Rattus norvegicus: one gene and its partner. The protein of the gene in region 1 interacts with the protein of each later gene in a pairwise test. Links are inferred from orthologs where the notes say so. Each region holds a gene or a part of one and is shown on either strand. Other genes may lie near its edges. The genes, in order: Arhgef2 and Rpp25l.

Region 1 (3,914 bases):
AACGAGCCAAAACCAAGAACTGAAACCAATTACTACCATTCCAAGTGACAGAGTGTACAGGCTGCTACTCCGTGAACGAGGCCCTGGGCTCACAGGGTGGGAATGAAAATGGGGGGCAGGGAGGGGAACCGAGAGGGGTGGTTAGAGCCAGATGTGCCCTGTGAGCACAGCACACAAATAAGATGCAAATTAGTGTTCTAATGTCTGTATCATTAACAGCCAGCCGCTGGAGGCTGAACGGCGCTTCATTTCCAGCCTTGCAATTTTGAGATGTTTAATAAGAGTTTGAGCAGCTGCATCCATTCATGCCCTCTTCTGTGAGGTAGTGACAGCCCCTTTTCAGAAACCGTGGTCACTGCCTTGCTGCAGGCACGGCAGTCCTCAGAACGGGCACTGAGACAGCACCTCATGCGTGTCAGGTCTTTAATTTTTTCCCTGCCAGAGCTTTTTCTTTCTTTGCTTCGTTGTTACTGTGTTTTTTCTGTTTAACAATTCAATTGGCAGAAAAATGGCTATCGCTGGTGGACATTAGGGTTGCAGTGAAAAAAAAATCCCCCTCCCCCAATTCTTGCTTGCCACCGTGGGAGACGAGGTGAGGGTTCCTAGAGGTTTCCCAACCCACCTCAGAGCTTCCTCTGAGGAAGAGGAATGGCTCTAAATGGCTGAGGAAGAGTTCTGAATGGGAGCCCCCTGACCTTCGATGAAATAGGTCACTGTCTCCCTAATTCCTCAAGTTCAAAGACATGGAGCTAGAAGTGCCTACAATCTTCTTTTAAAAATATAAAACAGGTGCGGTTGGCTTTGGTACAAAAAAAAAAAAAATAAGAAAACAAAACCAAAAACAAAACATTCTGGTCCCTGTATTCTTCCTTCCCCACCCCAATACATTATGGCTACCTGCTCCATCAACTCCAAGGAGCCAGAAATCCATGGAGGATGGAGAGAAAGAACAGCAGAAAGAGGCTAAGGGGAGTGGGAAAAGGGACATGGTCCTACCCACAGCCCTTCTGAAAGGGGCAGTAGGTTCTATGGCCACAGATGGGTGTCACTGGGGTTGATGTTAGGTTGTGTGGCTAAGGCCAAACATATCCCAGTGGTATTAAAGGAGAGGCCCTCTGATACCTATGGCTTGGTTCCCATGTCTCTGGCCCTTTAAATCACCCCCCCAACCAATAAACAATAAATAAATAATTTTTCCTAAGGAGGGGGAGAAGGCATGTAAAATCGGCATCTGTGGTGTGACTGTTGGAGAACACCAGGGGTGCGGTGGCCTCTAAGTCCCCATCCCCATGGCCCCTAGGTATCCAGGGGTCTTGGGAACTGGCAAGGACAATCGGCAGTCCTTTCAAGGTTTGCCCCTTTACTAATGTTCTTCAGTGGGGGGCACCAGGCAGGGGGAAGCGTCCCCTTAGCTCTCTGAGGCCGTAGGCTCCCCATCTCGGCTTTCTGTCTCTTCGGGAATGTCCTGCATTCGGGTGAAGTCTGTAAGGTGACAGACAGGGTAGGGTAATGAGTGAGCAGGCAGGAGCTCCCAAGAGGAGCAGTGCAGACTTACACAAAGACTCCCAGGGTGGGGCTGGATGACCCTCCGGCAGCAAAGTCACCTTTATAACAGGAAACTCTAAGAGGTATTTGATTCCTTGATAAGGGGGAAGAGGAAGTCTTTAAAACGCATCAGGGGTTATGAGCACTAACTGCTCTTCCAGAGTCCTGAGTTCAAATCCCAGTAACCACATGGTGGTTCACAACCACCTGTAATGGGATTTGATCTCTTCTGCTGTGTCTGAGGACAGCTACAGCATACTTATACGTAATAAATAAATAAATCTTTAAAAAAAATGGATTCCGGGCTGGGGATTTAGCTCAGTGGTAGAGCGCTAACCTAGGAAGCGCAAGGTCCTGGGTTCGGTCCCCAGCTCCAAAAAAAAGAACAACAACAACAACAACAACAACAACAACAACAAAAAAATGGATTCCTACTACTTCCAAAGGTTGGGGGTCACCAACCAATGGAAAAGCACTGCTTCCTTCTCAAGGATTTCACCACCAGTTTGTCTTCTCACAGAACAGGGAAACCGTCCCTGTCTCTCCCAGCATTACCAACCCTCAAGGTGTCACTTAGCGTACATTCAGAAGTCACAGTCCCAAGGGCTTGGACCCAGACCCCACAACCACTCTTGGGTCTCACCTCGTGGACTGTGGGGTGGGGACAGCCGGCTACTGACTTCCTCCTCACTGCAAGTATCAGGGTCACTGCTGTCCTGCAGTCGATCCTCGGGGCTACCAAGTTCTTGTGCCTCTCGGTCATCAAAGGGTCGGTGGAGGGAACGAACAGTCACAGGCAAATCCAGGCGGTCATGGCCTCGACTAGGCTATGGGAAGAAAAGCACAAGCTCAGGGGATGAGCAGTGTGCAGGCACGGGTGAGCCTTTTGGGTCCCAACATGCATTGTCTCTTGGGGTTCACCAATGACTCCCTCTCAGGAGATCCACCACCCACTTGATATCCTTAAACACTCCACATCTGCTGGGCTCAGTTGCTCCTCCAGTTGGCCTTCATACACAAGAACTCCAAGTACCCATAATATGCCACATAGACTAATAGAAATATTTGTTTATTTGAAGTGCCGGAGATTTGCACAGGCCTCTGCAACTAAACTTAGCCTTAAGTTTCTTTTCAGTTTAACTAGTACTTCTTGTCTATGTGTGTGCACTCGTGTATAAAGAAGTCAGAGTCTCAGGTTAGACCTGAGAAAAAACATTCCCACAACTGTCTGATTAAAGAAAGCAAGCTATATTTCGAAGTGCCCAGGGTCTGGCCAGATGACTGCCCCTGCTAAGTCAGGGTTTCAGAGAGCAGCCCCTCATTGCCTTCTGAGGTCTTATTTATGGGAAAGGGTTTGGGTTGATAGAAAACAACTGTTTAGATTGGTGTGAGCATCTGGACAGAGGAGATTCAGGACTCAAGGCTGGCTGCCTGCCTGCCTGCCAGTAGCTTAAGTGCAAGAGTATATTTCCTAAGGGGGTAGGATAGCATCATAGAGTTAAAAGTTCAGCATAGCTTGAAAAATAGTGTCCAGGTACATTAGATTTAAGAAACAAACTTACTCTTGTAAGGGATGGAGACTTAGTAACAATTTATAACAAAGTGCCTCCTTAGCAACAGAGCTCCTTACTATAGGGCAGTTTCATCGTCAACCTGGGGTGTCATTCCTTTTTTCTTATTTTCTTTCTTTCTTTTTTTTTTTTTTTTGGTTCTTTTTTTCGGAGCTGGGGACCGTTCTTATTTTCTTTTAAAGATTCATTCATTTTTACTTTATGAGCACTGGTGTTTTCCCTGCCTTTATGTGTGTGAGAGGATGCCAGGTCTCTTGGAACTTATGTGGGTTCTGGGACTTGAACCTGGGTACTCTAGAGACAGCCTGATTCTTTCTTTCTTTCTTTTAAATTTTATGTGTACTGGGGGTTGGGGATTTAGCTCAGTGGTAGAGCGCTTGCCTAGGAAGCGCAAGGCCCTGGGTTTGGTCCCCAGCTCCGAAAAAAAGAACCAAAAAAAAAGGGGGGGTTGGGGATTTAGCTCAGTGGTAGAGCACTTGCCTAGGAAGCGCAAGGCCCTGGGTTGGGTCCCCAGCTCCGAAAAAAAGAACCAAAAAAAAAAAAAAAAAATTCATGTGTACTGATGTTTTGCCTCAGCGTATGTATGAGGGTGTTGGAAACCCTAGAACAGACATTATAAGGCTGCGAGCTGCCATGTGGGTGCTGGGAATTGAAGTTCTGGAAGAGCAGCCAGTGTTCTTAACCGCTGAGCTATCTCTCCAGCCCCAGGTGTCATGTCTTTAAGTGGCGGTGGCGGTGGTGGTGCACCCCTTTAATCCCAACATTCAGGAGGTAGAGGCAGAGTTTGCCAGGTAGGCA
Region 2 (3,256 bases), on another chromosome or scaffold:
GTGGGAAACCGGAATCAAAGGCCAAAGAGAGGGAGAAAAACAGCAATGGAGAAAAGGCAAGAATGCCATCTGAAGAAACATGTGGGAATGAGGTCTGCTCTCAGGGAAACAGCGCGTGTGTAAGCTTGAGCTTCCTTTTGTGTAGCACCGGGTGCTCAGGTGGAGGCTGAATGGCAGATGTGTGCACCTCGTTCTAAGCTTCACAGCTCTAACGAGGTAAGCACCTCACCCCCCCACTTTTTGGATGAGAGCGCTAAGACCCAGAGAAGGAACTTTTATCCAAAACCACAGAGCAGTAACTTGGGAGTAGGAGAACCAGGATCAAAACCCTGAACCGCCAAGGCTGAGTTCATGATCCCACTACACTAAAACATACGCATGCCACAGATGGGACAACTGGCTGAGTCCCAACCCAGCTTAAAGCAGGCGGCAAGAAGCCATCCAGGTTACTACTGCTAGAACTTTCATCGAGACCAGATCCGTCATCCACTGCCAGTCTCTCTGTATCCTTCCTGCTTCCAGCCTAGGAGCTCCTGGGATAAAGCCAAGCCCCACTCACACGCAGGCCAAACAAAGCGGCACAACCTTTATTTCCCTTCCCTAGTCAGAAAAGGCAAGTCAGACATACTATAGAGGCAGAGTAAGCTCTCCTCACGCAGTCTTTAACTCAGCACTGACCGGACCCACACCAGTGCTTTTTTTTTTTTTTTTTTTTTTTTGGTTCTTTTTTTCGGAGCTGGGGACCGAACCCAGGGCCTTGCGCTCACACCAGTGCTTTTAACAGTTCCACCCCTCATTCCAGAGAGGAGGGGAAGTTCTTCTGTGGACTCTGCTGGCATGGTGAGCAATCACAAGCACTTCTTAGAGAAGGCACAGATACTCAGGTCTAGAGTACAGTCAGGTCCAGCAGATCGTCAGGACCGGGTGTCCCGAGCCCTCCTTCGGGGTCTGGGACCACAGCTGGAACTAGGTATGGAGCCCAGGCCAGGAGGTGCACCTGGGGGTTGGTAGCCACATTCACTGGGGTCCAAGGGGTCCCGACTAAGCAGTACCCACACTGCAGGCACATGGCGTCGGACTGTGAGGGGGTCCAGGCCCGTGTCCGGTGAAGTTGGGACCCAGCTGTCCTCAGTTTGCAGGAAGCGAAGCTTGGTGAGCTGGTGTAGGCCCGGAACCCGCCGTTTGACAATCTCTGCACAGCTGACGGCCTTTCCAGCGGCCCGGCCGGAGCCTGAGAACACCACGTGCCTTGTGCTTCCTCCTTCCAAACGAGCCAGTGCCAGCCCTAGTAGGTTTCGGATTTTGCTCCCATCTCGGACCCGCATTTCCAGCGTGTCGGGAGGTAGCTGGGGCATTGGTGATGAGGCTGGGAGCTCTACAGAGCCAGCCCTCCGGTAGTGCTCCATTCTGCTTTCGAGCCTTTGGTGACTCTCTGGATATACACTGCGGGAAAGAGTCAGATGAGTGGCAGGAACATGATCACATGGACCATCCTCCATCACTCCCTCCAGAATGTGGTCCTGTTCCTCACCACGGAGAGTGCTTTTACACCCTCACCCCAGCACTTCAAGGCTGGGGCCGAGAATTATCTACCCCTTTCTAAATACATCCACGAGTCTCTAACATTGACAAAAACAAATTCCCAAAAACTAGGCTCTCTGGGGTAGGGTTGTGCTTCATCATCTCAAGCTCTCCGGGGCTAGGTCCCAGACCCCAGGCCCACAACTCTCTAAGAACAGGCAGGTTCTCCTCACTGGGCTTCAAGGACCCTGGGGCACAGCCATGAACCCTCACAAAGTACTCCCCAAAGAAAGGATCGGTCTCACCTACGGTGTGTGGGGGGCAGAGAAGACCTCACTCCCAGATTAACTGAGTAGGCTAGCTTGAACCGGGCCACTCGGGAACTCGCGGGTGAGGACTCCCCGGAGAGCTGCTCGGGCCACTCGTGAGCGGTTGGCGGACTCCCCGATCGTGGGCCGCTGTCCCAGGCAGCAGGTATCCCCCTTTCCCTAACTCTGAGTCCCCACTCCCTGGGATTTGGCTCTTACCACCGTTGCCAGAAGACGCTCAACCCTCACCGGGTAGCCAAGATGGCGTGCAGACCGAGAGCGCGCGGAGCCGCGGGGCCGCGCACGCAGGGGGCGGGACCTGAGGGAAACCCGGGTTGCTGTTCGACTCAGAGGAGCTGATGCTGTCACCTGGGCGGCCTCGAGCGTCAGCGCAGTGGTCCGCGGTACACACCGGCACCTGCAGAAGGCCCACCTGAGAGAGCAACAGCTATCGGAGGAGTCCTGAAGAATGCAGATTTGTGCCTTTAAAGGATGGATGGCACAGCAGCGAAGGCGACGTCCGTGGTGGGTACAAGCAGGCAAGACCCTTAGTTACGGAGTTCTGAGCTTTGTTCTCATCCTGGGACACTGATCAACCCCGGCGGTTTTCAGTAAGGTCTAAGCCATAGCTTGTGCATAACTCATTGGCCACGGAGGATTGGTTTATAAGCATGGCGGATCCGGTAGTGGGGGCAACAGATACTGGTGACCCTGGGAAGGGGCTGTACTCAACATCATCATAGCGCTTCGGCCACGGGGGCGTGCGCACAGAGCCTAGTCCAGTATCCAGGGTAAAAATAGGCCCTCCGATATTTGTCCAATGAGGTGTTAACCACCGAAACAGCAAGAATTGAGAAGAGGTGGTAGAAACTTGATAGAAACTTGTATGAAGTTTTGGGGACGCGCGGGTGACTATTCGGGTAGAATAGTTTAGGATGACTGCCAGTTTCAGATCCGTTTGGATACGCTGCATTTTGGATGCCAGCAACTCTACAGGTTGGGCTGAAGCAACTCTACAGGCAGTTGAAGGAGCTAAGGCACTCCCTCAGACCACAAGAGGGCAGCATACACCGGGTGGAGCGCGGTACTGTTTCTCCCTGTTTTCTCATCAATGTACCCTGATTTTCCTCCTCTCAAGATCCTAAAATTTCTTACATCTTGGGCTCCTCCTCTGGCTACTGGTATTATGTAGACACAAGGCAGTGCAGCCTTGGCTCTGAACGTCCATTCCTGCTCCTCCAGGACCACCTGACATGCAGGCCTACCTGGTCTTCCCCAAACCCTGTGTAGAGATTAGCTGTCCCTGCCTATGCCCTCCTTACTTACCATAGGATGTGATATTTAGAGGGTAGTTGGCAAATATAAGATAAATAAATATACAATGCCCCGCTGTATAGTCAAATGATGAGAGAACTCTATCTCTCAGC

Evidence for each region.
Region 2: the proteins of Arhgef2 (region 1) and Rpp25l interact in binary tests that used the Homo sapiens proteins (3 or more experiments, as listed by UniProt). The two-hybrid records come from large-scale screens. The link is inferred for Rattus norvegicus from reciprocal best matches to the Homo sapiens genes ARHGEF2 and RPP25L.

Annotation. Positions count from the first base shown.
Region 1 is NC_086020.1:176,412,522-176,416,435, reverse strand, and holds the end of Arhgef2 (rho guanine nucleotide exchange factor 2), read right to left. Parts: intron 2,373-3,914; coding exon 2,189-2,372; intron 1,483-2,188; coding exon 1,409-1,482; 3' UTR 262-1,408; downstream 1-261. UniProt on the Homo sapiens protein: Activates Rho-GTPases by promoting the exchange of GDP for GTP.
Region 2 is NC_086023.1:61,673,726-61,676,981, forward strand, and holds Rpp25l (ribonuclease P protein subunit p25-like protein), read right to left. Parts: upstream 2,097-3,256; 5' UTR 2,049-2,096; exon of another isoform or gene 1,827-2,048; intron 1,444-1,826; 5' UTR 1,407-1,443; coding exon 915-1,406; 3' UTR 696-914; downstream 1-695. UniProt on the Homo sapiens protein: May be a component of ribonuclease P or MRP.